Linked DNA regions of Neodiprion lecontei. The protein of the gene in region 1 purifies or fractionates together with the protein of each later gene. This does not show direct contact. Links are inferred from orthologs where the notes say so. Each region holds a gene or a part of one and is shown on either strand. Other genes may lie near its edges.

What was found. The genes of interacting proteins can lie anywhere in the genome.
Region 2: the proteins of syntaxin-8 (region 1) and vesicle-associated membrane protein 7 purify together in Homo sapiens (affinity purification with western blotting; 3 studies listed by BioGRID and IntAct, with this or other methods). This does not show direct contact. The link is inferred for Neodiprion lecontei from reciprocal best matches to the Homo sapiens genes STX8 and VAMP7.
Region 3: the proteins of syntaxin-8 (region 1) and vesicle transport through interaction with t-SNAREs homolog 1A purify together in Homo sapiens (affinity purification with mass spectrometry; 3 studies listed by BioGRID and IntAct, with this or other methods). This does not show direct contact. The link is inferred for Neodiprion lecontei from reciprocal best matches to the Homo sapiens genes STX8 and VTI1A.

What each region holds. Positions count from the first base shown.
Region 1 is NC_060263.1:20,664,783-20,673,772, reverse strand, and holds syntaxin-8, read right to left. Parts: upstream 6,393-8,990; 5' UTR 6,102-6,392; coding exon 6,067-6,101; intron 5,791-6,066; coding exon 5,596-5,790; intron 5,185-5,595; coding exon 4,931-5,184; intron 4,805-4,930; coding exon 4,712-4,804; intron 4,548-4,711; coding exon 4,387-4,547; 3' UTR 3,351-4,386; coding exon of another isoform or gene 3,238-3,350; 3' UTR 2,898-3,237; coding exon of another isoform or gene 2,816-2,897; 3' UTR 2,728-2,815; coding exon of another isoform or gene 2,479-2,727; 3' UTR 2,402-2,478; coding exon of another isoform or gene 2,286-2,401; 3' UTR 2,130-2,285; coding exon of another isoform or gene 2,093-2,129; 3' UTR 902-2,092; downstream 1-901. Other genes in the region: ABC transporter G family member 20, read left to right, coding at 1-171; exosome complex component CSL4, read left to right, coding at 2,093-2,129, 2,286-2,401, 2,479-2,727, 2,816-2,897, 3,238-3,350. UniProt on the Homo sapiens protein: Vesicle trafficking protein that functions in the early secretory pathway, possibly by mediating retrograde transport from cis-Golgi membranes to the ER.
Region 2 is NC_060263.1:22,132,383-22,140,901, reverse strand, and holds vesicle-associated membrane protein 7, read right to left. Parts: upstream 6,689-8,519; 5' UTR 6,418-6,688; intron 6,244-6,417; 5' UTR 6,221-6,243; coding exon 6,201-6,220; intron 6,126-6,200; coding exon 5,915-6,125; intron 4,128-5,914; coding exon 3,990-4,127; intron 3,671-3,989; coding exon 3,512-3,670; intron 3,141-3,511; coding exon 3,048-3,140; intron 2,459-3,047; coding exon 2,390-2,458; 3' UTR 1,235-2,389; downstream 1-1,234. UniProt on the Homo sapiens protein: Involved in the targeting and/or fusion of transport vesicles to their target membrane during transport of proteins from the early endosome to the lysosome. Required for heterotypic fusion of late endosomes with lysosomes and homotypic lysosomal fusion.
Region 3 is NC_060260.1:32,071,558-32,076,745, forward strand, and holds vesicle transport through interaction with t-SNAREs homolog 1A, read left to right. Parts: upstream 1-1,983; 5' UTR 1,984-2,017; coding exon 2,018-2,111; intron 2,112-2,290; coding exon 2,291-2,349; intron 2,350-2,461; coding exon 2,462-2,812; intron 2,813-2,895; coding exon 2,896-3,054; 3' UTR 3,055-3,954; downstream 3,955-5,188. Other genes in the region: 60S ribosomal protein L34, read right to left, coding at 28-124, 1,127-1,324, 1,666-1,730; long-chain-fatty-acid--CoA ligase 5, read right to left, coding at 5,034-5,171. UniProt on the Homo sapiens protein: V-SNARE that mediates vesicle transport pathways through interactions with t-SNAREs on the target membrane. These interactions are proposed to mediate aspects of the specificity of vesicle trafficking and to promote fusion of the lipid bilayers.

The DNA.
Region 1 (8,990 bases):
ATCAGCTTTATCTTGCCGTTGACGAAGAGCACAGAGTCGATCAGGGCAATGCTCGGTAAAGGATGGCCCATATCTCAGCCAGCCGTTTACGACGGTTTCATCTCCACGTTCCTGTGGATAATAATATTCCTCACATTATCGATATTGCTGATTAAGTTCAAGAAGGGTTAATTATGTAGGTAAATCAATTGGCGATCCTCCTCATCGCACCCCATCCTCATTGTACTTTGTTTAACTAGCGCTCATCTACAAGCGACGAAACTATCAAGGCGTTTATTTAAATCATGCAAATTGTTATTTCTATGGTAGAACCTAGCTTATCCGACATTCGATTATCCAAGGTTCCGCATTATCCAAGAGGCCCATCTCATCCGAGCACTCTGCATTCACCAATGTGTATATCTTCGGATAATACGGAGAACCTTGGATGAAACTGAACAATCCACTGTGCCTTATGTGTATGAAATAGTTTTGTGTCGCATCTTTATTTGAATACGGATAAACTTGTAAAAGTTTCTTGCGATTTGTGACATTGCGAGCAATAATCGCTGCAGTTCCGATTCTGGAAGCTAGGGTAAAACATCGTAATGGCATGGATTGTACATGTTTTCCGTATTATCAGAAATTTCACGCATCCGAGTTATGCTCTCCCCATATTACCTCGGATAAACCAGGTTCTATTGTATTTCTATCTTCTTTTTTCACATCAACTTCGATTTGCTATTATTTAATTTTTCTTCGCAACAGCATCGATAATGCGATTTAAAAGATATTTTCGACCGATCAATTATTGTATAAATTATGTGATTTACTGATATAGCGGATTATTTATAGGGTATCACGTATCTACAGTCGATTCAATAAGTTTTATGTATACACATATCCATTTTTGTTTGATACGTATAAAAAAAAGTATTCAACGCATCTCAAAGTGACGATGTTGTTCCAACGTGTGTGAATAATATAGTATGTAATTCAACAAAAAAAATTGTACATTGAAACGCAATTGAATAGATATTACTATACCTATTATGTGTACTTGTGAGCTATGTGGACTCCTGGAATCGAGCTTATATTTTGTATAATATAACAATGTGTAATAAAGAAGGTAATTAATTATATAATCATAATAATGCGTTTGAAAATATGTATCTGAGATACTAATGTAACCCACTGTATACATTTTTTCAAACAATTACTTCTATGATCATGTCATTACTTGTTTATACAGGTGACTTTCTTTTAGTTCAATTCAATAGTTTGTGTAGTCTGTGACTTTTAAGTTATAAGTAGAAATATGTTAATTAATATGTACATTTGATAATTACGTAATGTTGTAGCATTGCAGCGAATAAACTGTCATAAATGTTATGTGTCAATTATGCGACTTGCTGTTAGTATTCAACAGGTTTTCCGCGTATGGTGGAGTAAAACTTTCAGTGCAAGCACCATAAATTTTAAACAACAGAAGAACATCGAGCGGTCTGAAGTAATGTACGAAACCTTTTCAAATTAACGCGGACTTCCGGTTATACAAACTGGCGGGAGAGCAATTTAAAAAATTTTAATCACTAATTATTTTTAACAATCGCAACGAAACTCGATCAAATTTGATCAACGATTTCTTGGAATCGGTTCACATCTTGCGAGATTTATAAATTGGAATAATTTTCTATTGTTAGAATTTCGAACATTGATGACGGAAACTTATTAATTTGTAGAAATGAAGGAGGCGGCACTTTTGAATTGTTCATTATTTTCAACCTTTACAATTTTAACATTGTCATCCAGGTATTAAGAGCTAATTACTTAACCCCTTTTCCGCGGTATTCCGAGACTTGACTGAAGTCAGTCAACGTTCCAAATGATTGGTGCGACGATGATTTACATGGATTTACATTTAAATCATATCGATCAATTGATCATTTGCGATTTCGAGGCTGACAAAATTCTGTTTACAATCCAACCAATCCAACCAATCCAACTACAATATGACAACCCAACCTAACCTAATTTCAAACGTGCTCCACATGTTGTCACCGTTGTCGCAATTTGAAAAATAATAATAAACTTACATAGATTCAAAACTGAAATGGACGAAAGAAATGAGCCAATAGTGTGTGTTCCAGGTAAGGATGAATGAATTACGAAATCGATAAACATTTCCCAAGTTTTCTACGCAGAAATGTCCCAAATGAATTGGCCCGTCCTATCCTCAATTACGTTTTGTTTGTATGCAAATTAAAGGTGGTTAAGACTCATGATAAATTTTTATTGCAATCCAGGTCAGAGGCTCTGTTTGTCGGACAAAGTAAATGTTCCAGGACCGGGAACTTACGAGCAGCACGGATATATTTATTCAAAATTAGCAGGAGTGGTGAACTTGGTTAAAGATGAACACGTACGATAAGTTTTAAGATATTTCACGGTCGCTTGCCTTCAGATTAAACATCATTTCTCACTTTCTATTATCAATAGAAGAGCACAGTTGAGGTGCACGGCATAAGAGAACAAAGCATTGTCCCAGCTCCCGGAGACATTGTAACAGCCGAGGTAATGGTCGTTAATCAAAGGTTTTGCAAATGCGTTATAAAATGCATTGGGGATGTGGTTTTGACCAGACCTTACAGAGGCATTTTAAGAAAAGAAGACGTCAGGGCTACGGAAAAAGATAAGACTGAAATGTACAAATCTTTTAAACCAGGAGATATTATTCTGGCTAGAGTTGTATCCTTTTTCTTTGAAAATTTTTTTCTACCGTTCGTTATCAATACCGCAGTTTCATAGTTGGCTACTTTTCCCATGCAAAATTTAGTTACCTCTCACCGAAGTCCATACTTATCAACTTTCCACTGCCGAGAATGAATTGGGAGTCGTTATCGCCCACAGCGAAGAGGGTAAGCAGAATTATTTTTTTATAGCGGTAGAAAAATGTCAAAGAATATATACGCTATAAAATATTCAATAGCTCTCAGCTCTCAGTTTGAAGATATGTAAAACAAAAAATCAGCACAATACAGGTTTTCATCTTTGTGTCATAACCATTTACACTTCATTTATCAAAATGAAATCGTTTGGAAAAATTACCGCCTTAGACTCGAAATGGAAGTTTTATTGTACTTTTTAGGGTGAATTGAGATTAGTTGCTGTGAAAACAAAATATCACTATTTGGAAATTATGGATTTTGTTGAGTAAAGGGTTAATGTAGAAAATTCCTCGTTTTTTTTTTTATACAGGTGTATCTATGGTGCCTGTAAGTTGGACGGAAATGCAGTGCCCAGAGACCCTAAACAAAGAATTGCGCAAAGTAGCTAAAGTTGTACCGGAGCATATCGTTAATGAAAAATAAAATAAATGTAAATTGCATTCATAAACGGACTATTCATTTTGCCAATGTGCCACAATGAATAGCATAGTTGGATGATTGTGTAAACTGGGTTAAACATATAGAATCAATATTGTCTCAATTTCTATTGAAATGCTTATAAGGAACACTAATTTTTGTTGGAATGTCAAGTACTTTATATTTATATATATACATATATAAATACGTACTCATATATTTGGAGTAATTTTTTATGTACATACATTGTAGACAGCTTTTGCCTGTCGAGTTGCAATAATACTACAAATTACTTATCGTACATTAGAGAAAAAAAATTACACTTCACTAGGTCATTCACAAGGTCAATCTCAAACTTTACTCCTCAATCCATTGAGTAATTCAATTCTTTTGTTATTGCACATAAAATGCAGAGTTCACAGAAAAAATATCCTGGAAGACTCACTTGCTGCAATTTTTTTCCTCCCATAATTCAGTCTTGTTGTGTATTGCAATTTACAAAATCCACAAAGAATGACCTTCGTTTCTTTGTGTTAGATCCCCAACACGTTTAATTTTCGTTTATTCTTTTCAGTGACAGTCAACTCAAAATACTCTCAAGCATTCTGTAACGATACTAACATGTTCGATTTCTTTTCCCAACAAGGATACACTGATAAATCAAACCTGGCTACTATTTGAATGTGGTGAAAAAGACCAGTGAAATGCGATGGAAAGAGTTTCAGGCGAGAGAAATATCTATAATATATTTACAAATAATAGCATAAAATCTAATTATAAACGGAATAATTGGGCTGCACCGAATTGATTTACTTTACAGCCGCGTACAATGGTTTTCACAAATTTTTGAAAACTTCCAATGCGAGTGTGCTAATTGAAAAGAGTGTGAAATCGTATATACGATATTGTTTGTGAAGTTGCCATTTCGATTATCTGAAGCAAGGGGTGAACAAGAAATGTAATTTTACTTTCGATATCACGTGTGTTGAATATACCGTGCTGATTATTATATATTGTGAATATAAGCCTCTATATGTTAATTTTAAACTACGGCAACTGCAATTATGCTAATAAATAACAAGATGATAACAATCCAATAACCGCACGTTCGATCTTTACGATCAATTATACCGACTTGGCGAGTTCCATTGATTAATCGTTGATCGGTCCTCTCCATGTGATCGGCCAGATCATCGATTATTTCTAAAACAAACGGCGAAATGAACAAACTAGTGTGAAAAAATTCGCGCATAGGAATAATTAATTTTCCGATATCTATTACTGGATTGTTCAAACCCACAAATTGTGATGGTATACAATTTTCATTGCGAATATGCAACATAAAGATAGTGAATCAAAATACTCACCATTCTGATGATCGACTTCATTATTAATGGTGTTTGCGATATCCTTTTGTCGAGAAATAACTTTTGACAATGCTTCCAGACCTTCATCTTGTTCTAATAAAGATTTAAACATGAATAACTTCCGATCTAAGAATTCTGTTTTTCATTTATAATAGTTGACAGTCACATTTGTGACAGTAAAAACTACAGAATAAATCTTCGCCGAGCTTGATATAATACCTTGCAAAAGTCGTAACTTTTGAACTTTCAAATCTTCGACAGATACTTGAATGTCAATAGGCTGATCGTCATCTTCTTCTAGTCCCCAGCTGGTCGTTCCCATATCGGCAAAAGCTGAAGAATTGGGTTGCATGAGTCTGGCTCGATCAGAGGCGAGGCTACTGCTGCGTGCATTGTAGAGCTGCTGAAGCTGCACGTCTTTGCTTTGCAGCTGTTCGATCTGACGCCATCTTCGTTCAGCTTCTTCCCTAGTTCTGATTTGTAACTTAGCTCAGGAAGTTCATACGTTATAATGGAAGAATTGTCTTTACCATAGTTACGCAAATTAAGGGCAGGAGTACAATTTCCGCAGCGTGAAAATTTGATGGTAAATTTTGGGTTTTCGGGGAGAAATAATGCAAAGTTAAAAAGTGCTAAAAGTTGATATTTGATTATCTTATGAGATATCAAGGCCGAACTTACGCTAACCTTTGGACTACAACAGTAACCTTCGGCGTTTTTCGTACAGAGTGGTATGTTGTGGTTTTGCTTATTCCTCTTTAAAGAATCCGAAACGGCAGATATTATTTCTTAAAATTTCCCTTACATTGGTGAAAATATCACGAATCAATGGTCAAAAACTGCTGCGACGAATATCGTATTATCCTCAAATTCGTCAAGGATACATCGATCGCATTTTAAAGTCCTCGTCGACCTTACTTTTCAGTTGCTCTACCTCTCCGCTGTACTGCTTCATGCGCAGGCGAATATTAGCTGACAAACTGGCATAATTCTGAGACGTTCGTGATTCCCTGTTGCGAAGTGTCAACTGTTCCATAATCTCTCTGAACAGCTTATCACACGACTCATATTCGGTGAGCCTAGTATTTTTTGAGTAAACAAAGAATGTTACGAAAAAGGATTGAATATATTTTCAATTTTTTTTTTCTATCCGACTTTATCTGGTAAACTTTTGAAACCAATTATGCGATACGACATAACCTAGGTTATTCCTTGTCAGGCATTGAATGGCATTCAGCAACATTGTTTTAACGTGAAAGACATAAAAATTCAACGGGTGCTGAGATTGAGAGCTTGATTTTATTACTTATGAAAATATTTTTGAAATAATAACTTTATAACGTATGAATACTTACCACGGATCACCGTCTTCGATGCGAACCAGCGCCATTTTTTATGAACTGTCACTTATGAACACACACACTAGCGCCATTTTTTATGCACTGTCACTTATGAACACACACACTAGCCCCCTGACACACGCTGCCGTTGACTGAAGACTATAAAGACAGTTACCCCTGGATAAATTTTTGTGTATCAGTTTTCAGCGGGCAAGTGGGCCCAGGTGGGCCTGGGAGCGTAGGAGGTTTCTGCTCTATCGACTCTACCGAACGGGCTTGTACCGACATTCGTGGCAGCTAAAGTAGTGTCTGACCTGCCTGGTTGGTGATCAGAGCCGAAGTGATAAGACTAGCCGCGCCCCCCCCCGCGCCGAGCTATTTTTCCCCCACCGCCGCGCCGCTGGCCTAGACGGCCTGCTGGTAGGACCCGACGCGCCTTCCGCGGTCGCTTTCCGAAGTTTTCTCTCTCGCTCGCTCCTACGCTCGCCCGCCCATCGGCCCCGGATCGGTCTTGCGACCTCCTCGTGCCGTTTAGGGTGACCTGCATGGGCTTGAGAAAAACGAATTTCCCGGGAGGTCTATAGCTTTCAGGAAGAAACTCCCCAAAGCTGAATTGGCGTTACGTACTCGATGACACATATCATGTGTTCGAGCACGTTCGTGGGCGAGCGTCGAACCGCGAGAGAGACGCGCAACCTTTTCGGTCGCTCGAATCCACTAATTTGGAAATGACTATCCGTCATTCTCGGAGCCAGAACTTGATTCTACTGGCTCTTGCGCAATCAGACATGTCGTCCTTTCGTCTCAACAATTGCCATTATTTTAATTTTCGTAAATTAACATGTACATCAGATGCTGATATAGTTTCCAATCACTATTCTATGCGATATTGTAACATTAATGCTTGCTCGTAATAGAGTCGTCGCCTATGATATTTCGTGTTCTATCGTGTTACGTTTCAACTTACAAACTTAACATAATAATCTTTCATCGTAACCAATTAAACTTATCGTAACATAAGCATAATTATCCAAACCAGCTTACTAGATCTCTACCCTTCCCTGCACCCTTGTATTGAAATACAACGAGCATGATAATAGCGCCTAAAGCGGCCAATCCTTGATTTATCGGTGACGACAATAAATTAATGACGACAATAAGAAATTAAACATTAAATTTTCTTCCAACTTAAACTTGAATCATTCTAACCGAGCGATCGAGATCAGCCCGAGAACAGCCGCATCTTCGCGTTTTCACCGTAGCAAAAATTTTATTTAGAAACGCGATAATTGCGGAGTAAATAAACAAAATCGAAAACTATCAGAAATTTTTTTTTTTTTTTTGTTCTCTACGTTTCTAACACCATATCTTCATCGACACAGTCATTATTTTATTCCAATAATACGGATATGCCTTTTCAATGTGACATAATTTTCTTAAAATCGCTTGCCCTCATTTCTCTGGATTCGACCACATTGTCTCGCAGAATTAAATACAATGAATTAATTTGAGACATGAAAAATTGTCATAATTATCGAAATGATTATATTTGTTACAATCATTATATAAAAACAACAGTTTCGATCCCTGGCTCCGTCGTTAATTTTTCAAATCACCAAAAATTTTCGAATTTACATTCTCTAGCATTTTTCTTCTCGCTAAAATAGACATGACGTATTTTCATATCACTTCATAGACGGCCGGGACCGTCTTACATGGCTTTTAACAAGTAGTGTCATACCCTTGTAAACATGTCACATACATACAAAGATCTATAATTGTGCTTTTTGAGAGGAATTTCATAATATATACTTATTATTAGTTCCTCATTCGATTGAATTGTATGATATAAAAGATAATGCAATAGACTGTGACGTAAATACTTGAAACTTATACTTGTGTTCACTGTTTAGTATATTGATGACGTACCTGTGTTGTAAGTTATTAGCTACTCGATTGCTCCCGAGCATTTCCATGGGACGCCACGAAGAGGCCTACTGACATTGCCGCCCATAGGTCGATCAGCTCGGTCATCCCCGTGAGGAGACGCGAAACCGCGAACTAAAAATGTCAATCAGCTCGATTAGTCCAGGAAACGGGTAGAAAAAAGGGCAGTTTTATGTCACGGCGTGCAGAAAGGATGAGACCTGCGGATTCTGGTAACGATTATAGCCCACATGAACGCCTACTACTTTCCAACCAAAGATTTGAGTTTCTAAATTTTTTACACGCGTTTAAAGTTTTGAAAAACAGGTTTTCTACTAGGATCTCCTAAACTATTAATTGTACAGAAAAAAAAGTTGCATAACTTTTTGTAGGTCTTAGAAAGACGAACAATTTCGTTGTTGGAAAATTAAAAAACCAGAGGTGCCAATAAAAAGAACTCGAGTGAACAGCTTAGAATACGTAGACTTGTAAATATTGATTGTAAAGACTTGTATGTTTAAGAAAACATTGTTAATATTTAAGTAAAAATGTCTGTAGCTATTATTTAGTACATTAAATATAAAAATATTGTAACATTCGTGAAATGAAGAAAAAAACGTGTCTGAATGTGTTTGATTTTTTTCCAACGTTTTTTATGTTTTATTCTGGTATTATTTGTAACGTATTCTCATAATAAATAAGCCATTGTAACTGATAAAAAAGTTTTATAATTATTTTAGACCTTATTTTGTCCTTATTTTATATTATGTCCCTTATTTTGTCGATTTTTTTCCAAAACGAAGAGACGCGTACTGCAATAACAATGTATTTTTAGCAGATCTTTTTTTTTGTGAGTTCTGTAATCAAAGCATATGACGTCAATATAATTTAACTCAGATGAAATAAAAAAATAAATAAACTAACTGTAAAAGAATAAAAAAAAAATTTACATAAACAAATTTCGAACGGAAGATCATTTTTTTAAATATTTTTTATAACAAATTCTTGATCAG
Region 2 (8,519 bases), about 1.5 Mb from region 1:
CTTGACAACAATATTGTCCTGCAACAATGCATTCAGGTTTATAGTGAAACTGAGAATGCTATTTTCGCTCGAACATTTTTCAAGAAATGGTGTAAATGATAGGGTGATAAACAATGTATCGATAGTTGGATTTATAGTAGGTTTAGCTATTTCATAGAACAGAGCAATTCGATGCAACAAAAGCAAAATACGAGCCAAATTCAAGTAATCACGGTATATAAAATTCTGCAATCCCAATTGCTTGTTATGTTATTGTTGCATACCGAAAGTTGATGGTGAATGTCACCGTGAGGTGGTACTCCAGCCATTTCTGATACAATACAATACAATATCAATTTATGCGATTAAAGTATCAATTATCATCATTGTCTTATTTACTGAGTTCCTACTTGATATAATAAGTGAGAGATTAATGAGTATTTTTACCTGAAATTGATAAATTTTTTGAATGAAATTATAAATTATCAAGAAACTTTTCCGCTATTAAGACGACATACTGAAATTTACGAAATTTTGATTTCACATGCTCACTTTAAAATAAAAAAAAAAAACGAAAAACAATCGATTGATTTTTACGGATTCAATCGGGCCGTGTTCCGTAACCGTATAAGAATAATCACCGTCGTATCAATAATAACAGAGAATTAAAATTTATTTATTGAAACATGTATTGGACAAAATTTAATCTCCAACATAACTCGATCTAAGTTTATAACTTTACCAATATGGAACAATGTCAGGCAGAAAAATCCAATATCTCGAAGCCAACAGACTGAAGCAAAATTAGAATATGACCTAAGACCGGACTATTACTCACGATTTCTTTTCGTTCTTTAACTGAATCTTCGCAAGTAATTGAGAAATTTTCATCGCCTATTACGGCTGCTACCTTTTTCACCGTTTATGTCAGTTTTCTGGAACATGGCAATAGGCTTAGTTTCAACAGAAGTGATAGATAATGTCATTGTGTGTGAGTTTATAACAAAAAATTGCGATAATTTTTTATAGCGTACTTATAGTAAGTTCCTCCGCGATGATGTTTTAGGTATGCACGTATTTATTTATTTATATGAGAAATACTGATTCATTTCAAATTATTGTTTTTCATTTCTATTTTTTGTCCCCAACAATTCCACAGAAAATTTCAATAACTTTTGATCATTACGACGGTATATGTGGGATCAATTTTGGGATTCGTTAACCAAAGTTATACGTTCGAAAGAGCGACGACAAGTTCTGTGTAATGACGAATAATATTTTTATTACGATTCATTTGAGAGTATAATGCAGCGGAGTAGTCAAATATAATTTAGGTGGGTACACATGGTGGTCAGTTTTTGCAGTGAGGGTTGAGGGTCAATGAATACGCACGGAAGATGAGGTGAAAAAAGGGAGAAAATACGGCAAAAAAAATTTCGCGTCCTTAAATTCGTGTTTGATCTTGGTATCAGCTGCTTATATCCAAAATACCTATTGCTTAACCAAAATCAGACGTTATTTTCAAAACCTAAAAAATGATACAATCCTCAAATCCCGGCCTATATCAGCATCGTCTTTATCTCTTGAAACGCTACAAGTCTTGTATGAAACTTTTTTTTGTATCTCTTTTCCTTTCCGAGATATTCGCACGGGGTATTTGAAACCGACCACCCTGTACTACGTGAAATATAGCTTAAAATAATGTTTATACAGGCTGTAGTTACTTATGTTTGAGCATATATGCTTATGATATGATAATCACAGTAGTAAAATAATTCGAAGTTAACAAAATCAGTTATTACCTACAGGTATGTACATTACATGATAATATGCCTTTATTGCCCCACTTTGTAAAAGGGAACAAGTATCCAGTTCATTTCTTCCGTTCAACTTTTTATTCCACTTTACTATCTATTAACAATTGTTGAAAGAGATAAATTCACGGTTACTCAAATTTCTTACTATTTAGAAACAAAATAAATGGTTGTTATATCACAATAAGTCTAGAATCTTGTGGCCAATGATCGAAACGTAATGCTTTTGAACTTTTACGACGATATTATTCAGCATCCGTCTTAACAGTATGCAATAACGATATAGAAGAAAAAACAAATAAAAATAAAAAAAATAAAGATGATAAACAATATATAAAGGTATTTTTATTGATTGAATTTATAAATTAGTTCAATACCAAATATCGCTCTCCTCCCATCCTTCCTCCTTCCTTCTACCTTACCGTGTGCCATGATTTGAAAACATTTCCATCAAAAAACAGTGCAACAGATTCATTGTTTGAGTACCTTAAATAATTTGGCCAATGTCTGCGAAAACGCTTAACATGTTCATTCATTGGTCAAGGATACCGGCACTGATTTCATACAATCCAAATTTAGAATTGTCTAAAATATCTTCAATTACCGACACACTTCTGCCATGCAAGACCTCCACAAGCCATTGCCACAACAAAGTATATTACAACCTGGAATAAAAAAAATAATAAATACATACTGCTATAATCATTCAATTCAAATAAAATGCAGGGAATTTCATCAATCATAAAAATAACGACCCGGCATCAAAAAATTGATTTTACTGTATCTATTAAAATTTATCATAATTATTTAAGCAGAGTAATATACCTCCGACTTGGGAAAAATTACGGCGTTAAATTTTAGTTTGTATCCGATGATAAAGTTTTGTTCTACTTTTCGATAAACATTTTACGTTTGATTTTACGAAGGAAACAAACGATGGATAGGCAAAATTTTGGTTCTTTTAAGTGTAAATCTGAATTTCTTAATTCTCTTACTTTATTTATCAACATTTGTAACTTTGCAAGATATAAAATTTGTAACGTGGGTTCATGAACAAAGCAAAACTTCACGATCCTTGGATATGACCTAAGTCAAAGGCTCCAACGATCCATAGCTCAAGGGTTTCTCATAGGTAAAGTTTTGGGTAAAGCATGATGAACTGTTTGAATAAGAGCAGAATATACTTTTTATGTGTATGATTGGTAGAATTCCTTGTGACACATTAGACGCCTAATTGTTGAGATTTATACGTACGATCAAAACAAGAGCCACTATCACATAAAGCTTTATGTTCTTCCAAAAAAGGGAACGAGCCAGATTTCTGCTTGTTTTCCTGAACGTCACAGACTGCAAGATTAGTCAATTAGTCATTAGTGCAAATTTTACTTTTTTAATAAAAACTATCTATGGAGAGGAACAATTTGTAGAATACTGAAAAAATAAAAATTTTCTGTAATGGTTTACTTGGTGGCGCTGCCAATTCTTGTATGATTTTTTAAAGATTTTCGTGGGAATGATGAAGATGATATGCATATATAAATCTATCAAACTAAACAAAGTCGATAGTTCAGTTTTCAATGGCAATTACTTCTCAAGAATGACATTTCTGCAACAAGATATTGCATGTTATGAAATTCGGTTGAAACTCGGCTTTTTAATCATACCTTCCAGAAGAATTGCCCTATAGATAACTTATAAGAGTAGGGATTGAAACTTACACTAGCAGTCAAATTCTCAGTTTTGTTTATGAGCAATTCTAGTCTTTCCCCTCGTGCCGCAACGTTATCGATATTCTTCACCATAATGTCTTTAAGTTCATCAAGTTCCCCATGCACTTTGGATAGTGTATCGATATCTGTGGACTCGCTGTAGTGTTTCTGTTTAATGTTAAGAAAATGAACTGTTTTAATGAGCGTTGTCGCAGGTAATGAAAGTAGATTTTAAAAAAGTAGCATATTCACTAAAAAATTTATAACAAGTTGAGAACTAAGATTTATTGATGTCAAACTTAGTGTTTTCTGTTTTTTTCTACACCTTTTTCAATTGACAGTAAGAAACAAAGTTCTTTCAATTTTTGCACCGAAATTTTGTCATAGTTATTGGTATGTGCATAAAAACCACAATCTTTCAGAGAAGCTGAATCGCTGCTGTGATCTCAAAAATTTTCTCCACGGGACTCGAAAACTTATAACTTACCATTTCATTGGCCAGCACCCTCGAAAACTCAGAGTTCATTGCATAGGCTAGAGCAGTTTGAGCTCCATGTCCATAAGCTGCTTCAAATCGTCTCTTAATTTCATTCAAGTATAAGAAGGCACGCGACCGTTGAAATTCCTGAAATTCAAAGTCACCAATCAGTTAATCAACAGAAACATTTGCATTTGTACTAAGATTGGTAAATGTCGTATTATCCAGACAATACCATCTGTTGATTGTAGATAACTGATGCTTATAAAATAATTACCCATGAAATTACGAGCAATATCAAGTTTCACTGCTTTTATTATGACGACAATTGTGAAATTTGTAATAGTTTGTCCAAGGAAAATGATTAAAAAACAGTTTTCTTCAAGAGTATTAAAAACCATTTTGAGAAATGTATCGAATATTATCAGTCCAAGCGAAACAGATTTTTGACTCTGAAAATTTGATATTGAAGACTTTTGATTTGCTGATTGCTCTACATTTTTGCCCCCACCCACCTTGTAATTTACTCTTCTTTTTCTGTGTCATTTTTTAAGATTCCAGAAGAGATGAAGCAACTAATTTTAGGTGCATCCTCGCATATTTAACTTTGTCCATATCAAAGTACGAAACGTTCTCATTTGACCAAATATTCATGCAACTTACACTATAAAAGTTTTTTGGCAAACTTTTCTTCTAAGTTCAGTTACGTATCTATGTAGTTGAACTAATTTTAGAGAAAACCGGTGTGCACAGAGCAAAACTTCAAGTAAATTATTTTGTGATTACATATAGCCTGAGAACATATAACGTGGCCATGAGCTGATACATATGGGTCATTCTCAGTCATTCTTATTTTTCTGTAAAATCGGCATTTGTTTACCGACTTGCGGCAATTGAAGACCTTGAACGAACGTCGTTGAGTTTATAGTTTGTAATCAGCGCCACTCGAACTAGGTGCGCAGTCATTTTGTCATTTATTTCATTACTGACACTCTGTGGATACAGTTGAGAACGAGTGAATGGAGTCTCTGCACTGGTAAGTTTTATTTTAAAAATATTCGTCTAAAAATTTTAATTCATTTGTATATTCACTTCTTGTAGTGTATAGATTCTAAGTTTTCTTGGTTAATCGCGTACAATAAATACATTTGTCATTATTTCTGTTTTTGTTACTAAAAAGTATCTCCCTTGTTTATATCTCCCCTGTTTATATCTCCCCTGTCTTGTTAAGGGCCAGGGGAAAGACACGATATCCAGGGGGGATATGAAAACTTCAAACTATAATTTTTTATACTGAATTTTTTATACAGAATAAAGTTAATACTCAAAAGAAAAGTTGTTTTCTTTCATAAAATAACATTAAAATCCTTTCCCTGTTCACAAAGTATCCTACTCTGTATATCAAGTCTCTCCCCTGGTTTCTTATAAAACAAGATAAAATTAATAAATTGACTGACTGCCTTGCAGACACGTTTAGAATGATTGTTTTGATCGAAACATTATAAAATTTAATTAAATTTTCAAAAATTTTACCGTGCCGCGTTTTATCAATAAGCAATTTACCTCTTAAGTGAGAATGACCTATATGCAAACGTCATCTGTTGATGTAAACAAAAGTGGAAACAAAATATATGATATTCTAGGTACGTTTTATATATTCTGGTTCATTTATACTTGTAACAATCGGTTATTAAAAACAGAATTGAAAGAAACGCAGAGAAAGCTAGAATTGACATTCCCAGATCTCAAGGAATTACATTACAGAGGTGATACCAGCTTTGTTTCTTTGTTTCTAAATTTTTAAACAATTGCGCAGCTTTGGATAAAACCCCTTTCCCGATTGACTCGTATTTCGTGTTAGTAAAAGTTATTTTTGTCACAAGTAGTGGGTACTGGGCGCTATGTCAAAGTTCTTGGAAATACTCATTACGCACGTCATCCGTGATGCACATGTATACAATCCTGTTATCGCACATGTAGTGGAAGAGGTACGGCCCTTGGGTATAAGTTAGCTTGTCATTGTGCGGTGGTATTTTAGCCAAAATCCGTTCGGTCACTTCGGCAAAGTTTCCAGTGCGCGCCGCATGCTTGGCGAGCACGGTTGGCCCACGTGCCACGACACTGTATAGAATAGGCATTCTTTCTCTGTAAATTGATAAGAAAACTTGTCGTCAATTGGATAAGACATCGGTATTCTTAACCTGCATTAATCCGATGTACTTTTCATTTCCTTGAATCATGGCTCGCCGATCTATCGGTCAGCCTGGGAAAACAATATAGTCAACTTCATTGTCGCCACGAAAATCGCACAGCAATTCTGACTCACTCGCATCGTTAGTGAGGAATTCTCAGAGAGGTTCAATATCAACTCTGCCTGCTGTGAAAGTTAGTGACAAGTCGCTGGCACGTCTAACCAGAGACAGTGGCAATGACCTACCTTAATTTGTGAATGCGGAAATTCTCGAGGATATTTCCTCGCCTGGCAGCTCTCTACTCCGTAAATGACCACACCAAAGACAATGTGCGCACTTGTTGCTGACCGCGAGTTATAGATTGCATCGGTTTACGGTGATGGTTAATCACTCGATAACGACGAAAATTTACGTCAAAGTTCAAATGAGTCAAAACACACTCATCCACCTACAAAACGAACAAAGCACCAAGCATGCCAAGCACTGTCAGCAGGCATTCAAGGAGGAAAACTCACGTCACCCGCTTTGTTTTCTGGCCACAAGAGTGCGCGCTATCGACGCGTCATTCACCAGTTACGGTGATTTCGCCCGCATATAGGCAATTAAGGGTACATGCATTACGCGACGTATCCGCCTGCATACAGGCAATTCGATGTACTCTTTATTCTTAAACTTCAGTCTCGAGCTGTTGCTCTGTCATACAGGCGGAATCACCCTGTGTTAAATGTCCCACGGTACGCACATTTGGAAATACGTTATATATTGGAAGGTTCGGTGTTATCACCGACGATGACTAATCGTGTAGTTTGCTATATGTATATATCTATGTTTTTTATAGGCAAACATAAATATTCTTTCAGACCTAGCGAAAGGCTGCTCAGGGCGAAAAATAAATGGATTAAAATTTTGTACAATATTTAATCAGTTCTATAAGGAATCAGAACGCTTTTTCTGACACTGTAGCACAATCATTTTACAGAAACTCCTGAAATCAGACCCTCGTAAATACACTTCAAATCCTCTGTGCAATATTTATAAGTTGTGAAGTTCGATACTTTTACAGTAATATATATCAGAGAGTGAAATGTCGATCTAATAGTTCCAAGTTTCCCAACTGAATTTTGTCCCAAACTACATCAAATGTTTCAGGAATATTAGAGAAGTTTTTGACTAATGATTCAATTTTAAATGTAACTGAAATATTTCTAAATATTGTGTAAAATATTTCTAATACAGCTCTGACAGAATTTTTTTTGCGTAATACTGCATTCATATTGTAGAAATACTGGAATGTTTTTAAGGAATGTATGAACTGCAGTAACGTGCATACATTTGTTGTTTTGAGGACGTTAAGTCGAGGGCTGAACTCGATTTCCAGTACAATGTTTGCAGCGACGTAGGTGTAGAAAGTTATAAACTTGGATTGACTGTATCCTTAGAATATAGCATCATTTTCAGCCATTAGATAGGTAAGTTACTTCGGTTCAAAGCATCATGGGAGGATGGAAAATTAGAAATTTGAAACATTACCTTATTTCAACTAGTGATTTTAGTTCTTGTAATCCTTGCAGACCTTGGATCGATAATTTATTCACGTCAGCAATAATTTTTAAATATTTCGACAAGTTTGTGAGCTGCTAAGAAATTGATAGAAATATCTTTTGAGTCATACGTCGCGGGTTTTGTCGTTTTGGCTTTCTATTAGAGTAAGGATTAATATTTGTACTTCTGCCTAAACGCAAATATTTGCATCGCTGCGTCTTGACAAAATGTCACGAATCATGTGTTTTTATTGGTGGATCGCTTCGATAAGAAACACGATATATGCCATCCTGAATACTGCGCGTTCTAGACGTTTTTTAATTTGACCTGTACCGACGACCAGGCAGAGTTCTACATGCAAAACTAGAGCAAAAGTCATCACAACGAAGTTTAAAATCATTCATGCGATACATTATACCCAGCGTCCATAAAATAATTTAATGCGCGCAGATAATATATAACTTGCATTAATCCATTTCATCAGGTTTTTGCCTCAATCAAAAAAATTACGGTACTCGGTTGTATATATTTTTTTTTTTTTCAAATTAACACCGATCTATTTCTTTTAAAATGGTATATCCCTCACGTGTCTGGATTTCACGAAATTTTCACCTCTGGAAGATACTTCGCAACGCGTGTCTATGTCTGCGGTTAAGTTATGTAGCACGCAGCGATGTTTTGCTCTTGGTAAGAACAGGGAGCGCCGTAAATAAGCGCAGTGCGTCAGATAGCGCATATATCGAGATAACGGTGCCGCGAGTCTTTCAGGCCGGCCCGCGGCGTAAACTCGTGTAGATCTACATTT
Region 3 (5,188 bases), on another chromosome or scaffold:
TTTTTCGTTTAATAAAAGATGAACAGCTTATTTATCGGTCTTCTTGGGCTTGCTGGAAGCCTGTTGAGCTTTGATTACCTTCACGACGATTTTCTGTTCCTCGATTAAAAACGCACGAACGATTCTAAAACAAAAAAACACCACATTAAAGTAAACGCAGTAGTATTTACAACTTGGGATTCTACGTTTCGTTTCGATGTTTCAATTCAAGCAAAAATGTGAAAATATGAACCTATATTCTGATTAGAATCGAACTACGGAAATTATGCGAGATCAAGTGAACAGAGTAAAATAAATCAATCGCTGTTGATAAAAACATCATCTGAATAAATAAATTCTGAAACACAGTAAAGAAATGTAGACTAAAATGTTATTAATGATTTTATTACATACAATCACCACCGTACTACGAATTTGAGATTGAGTAATATTCAGTAAGAGTAAACAACAAATAATGAACCGAAGTGGCAAGTATGTGTAAAAAACATTATGTCCTAACTTCAATAGTTAGGCAGGTAACTGCAATACCGAACCAAGCTTTGATATAAAACTTGACCATAAGGGTTATAAATTATGAAAATAATTTATTGTGAAATTTTTACGCAAGATAATATAGCGTGTGTGTAATTATAGAATTTTCTATAATATTGGTGGAATATTTCAAATGACAAATAGTCATTAGGTTAAGAGGTTGTTATAGTCAGTTTTCATCAGCTGTGTAAAACGTCATTTATTTTGACTTATTATCAAAATTACGCCATCACTGATTTGAAAATACCATAATCAGCACAATTCTACATGCATTACCAAATACAAATGTCCAAAAAAGTTTGATTTTGCGCAACAATGATGCCCAGAAATGTATTTTGATAATTGAATTACTACGAATCGCAGTAATAAATTTCTTGGAGTTGTTTTCACATGAAATCAAAAAGTTTTTTCAAGTTACATGTAGAATTACACTGACTGCGACATTTTTGCATCAAGGCTGCATAGACTTTGATATTAGTTAAAATTGGTGATAGTTTATTGAGTTTGGAAAGATTGACTATAGTATCTTTTATACTTAATAATGTGTACGATTGAGTCTTTTTAAATTCGGTCATGTCTGTTAACGACTACGCACCTTTCCTTGACACATTTGTGGCAAAGGACACCGCCGTAGACACGCTTTACTGTCTTTTTGCGCCTGCACATACGTGAGCGTTCCATTGGCCTGGCAGGCTGGATACCCCTAAGTTTATCTTTGCATTGTCCACATCTTGGGATCTTCTTAGGTTTCTTCAGGTACTGGTAAACAAGTTTACCACCAGGCGTACGAACGCTGTAAGAAAGAAGCCGATAAATCACAAGTGATATGATAGGTGATGTAAAATTGTTCCATAGAAAACATCATTTGCTAGGTCTGGCGTAAATTTAGTCAACAAAACCCATCCTTAATATTCAACAGAAAAAGCCGTGTTAAGGTCGATACAATAACTGTCGTACGCACGTGGATAGACTCAAGAGAAACGGGTAGCGATAACCAAAACATAACCTCACTTAAACGGACAAGAGAAAATCTTATATTAACGATGAGTTTAACCGTCGTATGTGTACTTATTCAAGCGGGAATATTTAGGGGAATAATAGCTTTGAGGCAATTTGATATGTGAAAACACTTACACACGTCTCCTGTTACTTTTCGTATTATACGACAGCCGTCGTCTATAGGTGAGTCGCTGCACCATTTTGGCTCTGTAAAATAAAGTACGATCGTTTAAAGGTGGCAATAAATATGTGGACGATATACATGATTAAACATGAAAGGGTATCCGGGAGTCACTGGGTGCACGCATAATCGCACGATTATTCGAACAAACTTGGATATTTAATAAATACATGAAAATACGGACAAACCTTTGTCGGACCTAACCGGAAAAGGAAGCGACGTTTTACGCAGTAGACGATTCGTTAACGGTGTCGTTAGCGCCGCAGTCGATCTCGAGGGTGTCGAGTTTTCGAACTAAAAATAAAGATGGCGACGCTCGTTGACAACTACGAGCAACAATACGCTGTTTTGACAGCTGATATCACCGCTAAAATAAGTAGGATCGCGATAGTGAATAGCGGTAAGGATATTTTCGTTGTGTACCTTGAAATAATCACGTTATTTTAACGTTGAGTTTATATAAATACGGTGATTGTGACGTGACAAACGGTCGCTATCTAGCGGTCTTGCGACAAATGATAATCGATACAAATCACATCTCGGGTGATACGCATACGTCATCCATGATTTAATTCACAGGTGAAAAAAGGGCGCTCGTTCAAGATGTTGACCGGCAAGTTGAGGAGGCTCAAGAGTTGGTAAGGAAGATATTTACCGTGTTTTTATCAGGTGACGATGCCCAAACTACGTGAAAACGTAACAAGAATCTTGTTTAATTGAACTCATTTTTTATTTGACTCCTTTTCTTAGCTTGAGCAAATGGAGCTGGAGGTACGGGGAATGAGTGGCACAGCTCGCGATCGACTTAGGGGTCGCGTAGAGAGTCATAGAGCAGAACTAAAGAGATTGAATCAAGAATTTCAGTCCGCTAAACGACCTAAGGACGATGGAGGAGCTGAGGGGGGTAGAGACGAATCGTGGGATACCAGTATAACAATAGATCAAAGACAGAGATTACTAGATAATTCTGATAGGATAGAAAGAACAGGGAGAAACTTGCAAAACGGTTACCGCATGGTTTTGGAAAGTGAAGAGGTTGGTTCTCAGGTTCTAAAAGATCTTCATGATCAGAGAGAAACCATACAAAGAACTAGAGGAAGGGTTGGTATATTGGATTTCTGAATAATTAAGTGCCAACCTCCTACAATTATCAGCATTTATTGACCGTAAATATGTATTTTTAGTTACGAGAAACTGATGCGGAGCTCGGACGAGGATCTCGATTGCTATCGGGGATGATTTTCAGGGCTGTTCAACAAAGGATAGCCCTTGCAATTGTTGCCCTCGTACTAACAATAGTGGCATGCTTCGTAGTATATTATAGCTTCAAGTCTAAGGGTTAAATGTACAATATAACACGGTGTCACGCATCTTTCAGATCAAGTAACATTAATGATAATTACTTAACGTAATAACTTCTCCGCCAGTATAAAATCTACGTTTATTGAAGTTAAATTAAGTCGCTAATCAACAATCAGCAGGCTTACAAGTAGGTCGTGCCAAAATAGTTTGCCGCGGTTTCTACAGAATTATCTTTCAATTTATCTGTTCGATTTAATACAAGCTTAAACGTCGCATTGACTAGCTTGTTTAGGAATTAATATGCCGAATGTACCTTCATTCCACCGTTTTAATATTGAAATACATATGGGATTGCGATTGTTGAGGTCATCTATAATATCTCGATTTGCGTGATGCATGATCAGGGTTTTTCATAGCTCGCCTAGATTTGTATATATAGGTAAAACGAAATTGAAGAAGATTTCTATAATGCACTGCCTATTTTTGGACATCTGATTCTTGCACAGAGTTCTTGAATATGCGACTTTGCCATACTTTTTATTTATATCACTTATTTATATACCTATTGTCGCATTTGATAGTTACTACACTTTAGATAACATGGGGATGCTGTTTTATGTATTTTCGTCTTGGGTTATTGCCAAAGTTCGAAACATGTAGACCTGCATACTGTAATGAATTTGGTATACATTTGTAGCAACCACGCTTTGATGTGTAAACAACCTTACTTCGTGTTATTTCAATTCTCGTCTTGCATCACTGGTGTGTGTTCTTGAATCGACCAGATATCGAATTCGTTACAGCAGGTGGTGAAACTAATTTTAATTTATTAAAATACCATTGATTGTAAACATATTTAATGTAGATATAATGAAGACCTATTTGCAAAGTGTAAGTATTAAATTAATAACTCACTGATGTAATTGGAGTAACTCACTGAAGCAATTATTTTTGACATTTCACCTGTCTTTATTTGAAATAGTTGGGTAACATATTGTAATCTGATTCTTATATTTTTCCTCTAACGTAAAAAAGTAGAAAGATATACAATACAGTCATTGCCTTCCATGCTAGTTGGTGTTCTAGAAAAATGTGTAGAACAAAACATCGCGAAGAAGCAAATTGAAAATGTGATGACTAAAAATTTTTAGTAGAACTTCGTATATTTCATTGCATTCCCTACATTTCTACGCATATATGTATATAGCAATATACCTATATGTATGTATATGTTATATATGACAAGTATGAAAATTTGCTTACCTTAAAATTTGTTTAAACGCAGCTGGGATTTATTAGATACATGTTACATATCTTGTACAAACTGTAAACACCCATCCTTCACAAAATCGTCGATGAATTACTGAAGCAGCAAATAATCTGTCATTTGTAATGAATTCTAGTTACGCATATAGAACATTTATCGTTAGATCGTTTTATTTTAACGTATTCCATGCGAATATGCATTAATCAAATTTAATCGATTCAACGCGTCAATTAGCCCACTCAAGTATTATAGTAACAGAGTTGAGTGGATTTATTTTTACTTGTTTAATATTTTCAAATTTGTTCCACTTCGTCGTTTGATCATGTATATTAATAGCACGATCTTTCAAGGATCTCTACCGGTTTGGTTCACCCAGGCTAATTTCAACTAACGAAGCAGGTATGTGTGAATGTATGTATGTATATTACAGATACACCGAGGATTGAGTTAGAGGAATTGAAATAATAGAAGAGTTGAATATTTCGTACGTACAGAAAGGAGCCGGTCAACATCTTGAAGGAAGAAGGAACCAGACAAGTTTAACAATAACCTGTTTTATTATTTATAATATTATCAATATCTTAATAGCTTATTTAGTGTTCCTCTTTCAAGACTATGTATTGGTGAAAATGATGTAATAAATGTGTATCAAGTGTTGACAATAGCGTTTTTGGTCTAGAAGGCGTGGTTCATCGTTCCGGAGCGAGTCGGTTCAATTGTTAATTAATAATTGAAGACCGGAGGTCACTTCGGTCAAGCCAGATGCTGATAAAGATCTTCCAGTTGAGGTTTGAAGTATGCTTTGAGTTGCGGTCGTTTCGTTTTCAGCGTTGGCGTCAAAAGGCCGTTTTGTACTGAGAATGGGTCTGGATGCAGGTAAATGTCTTTCACCTAAAAAAATTCACGTA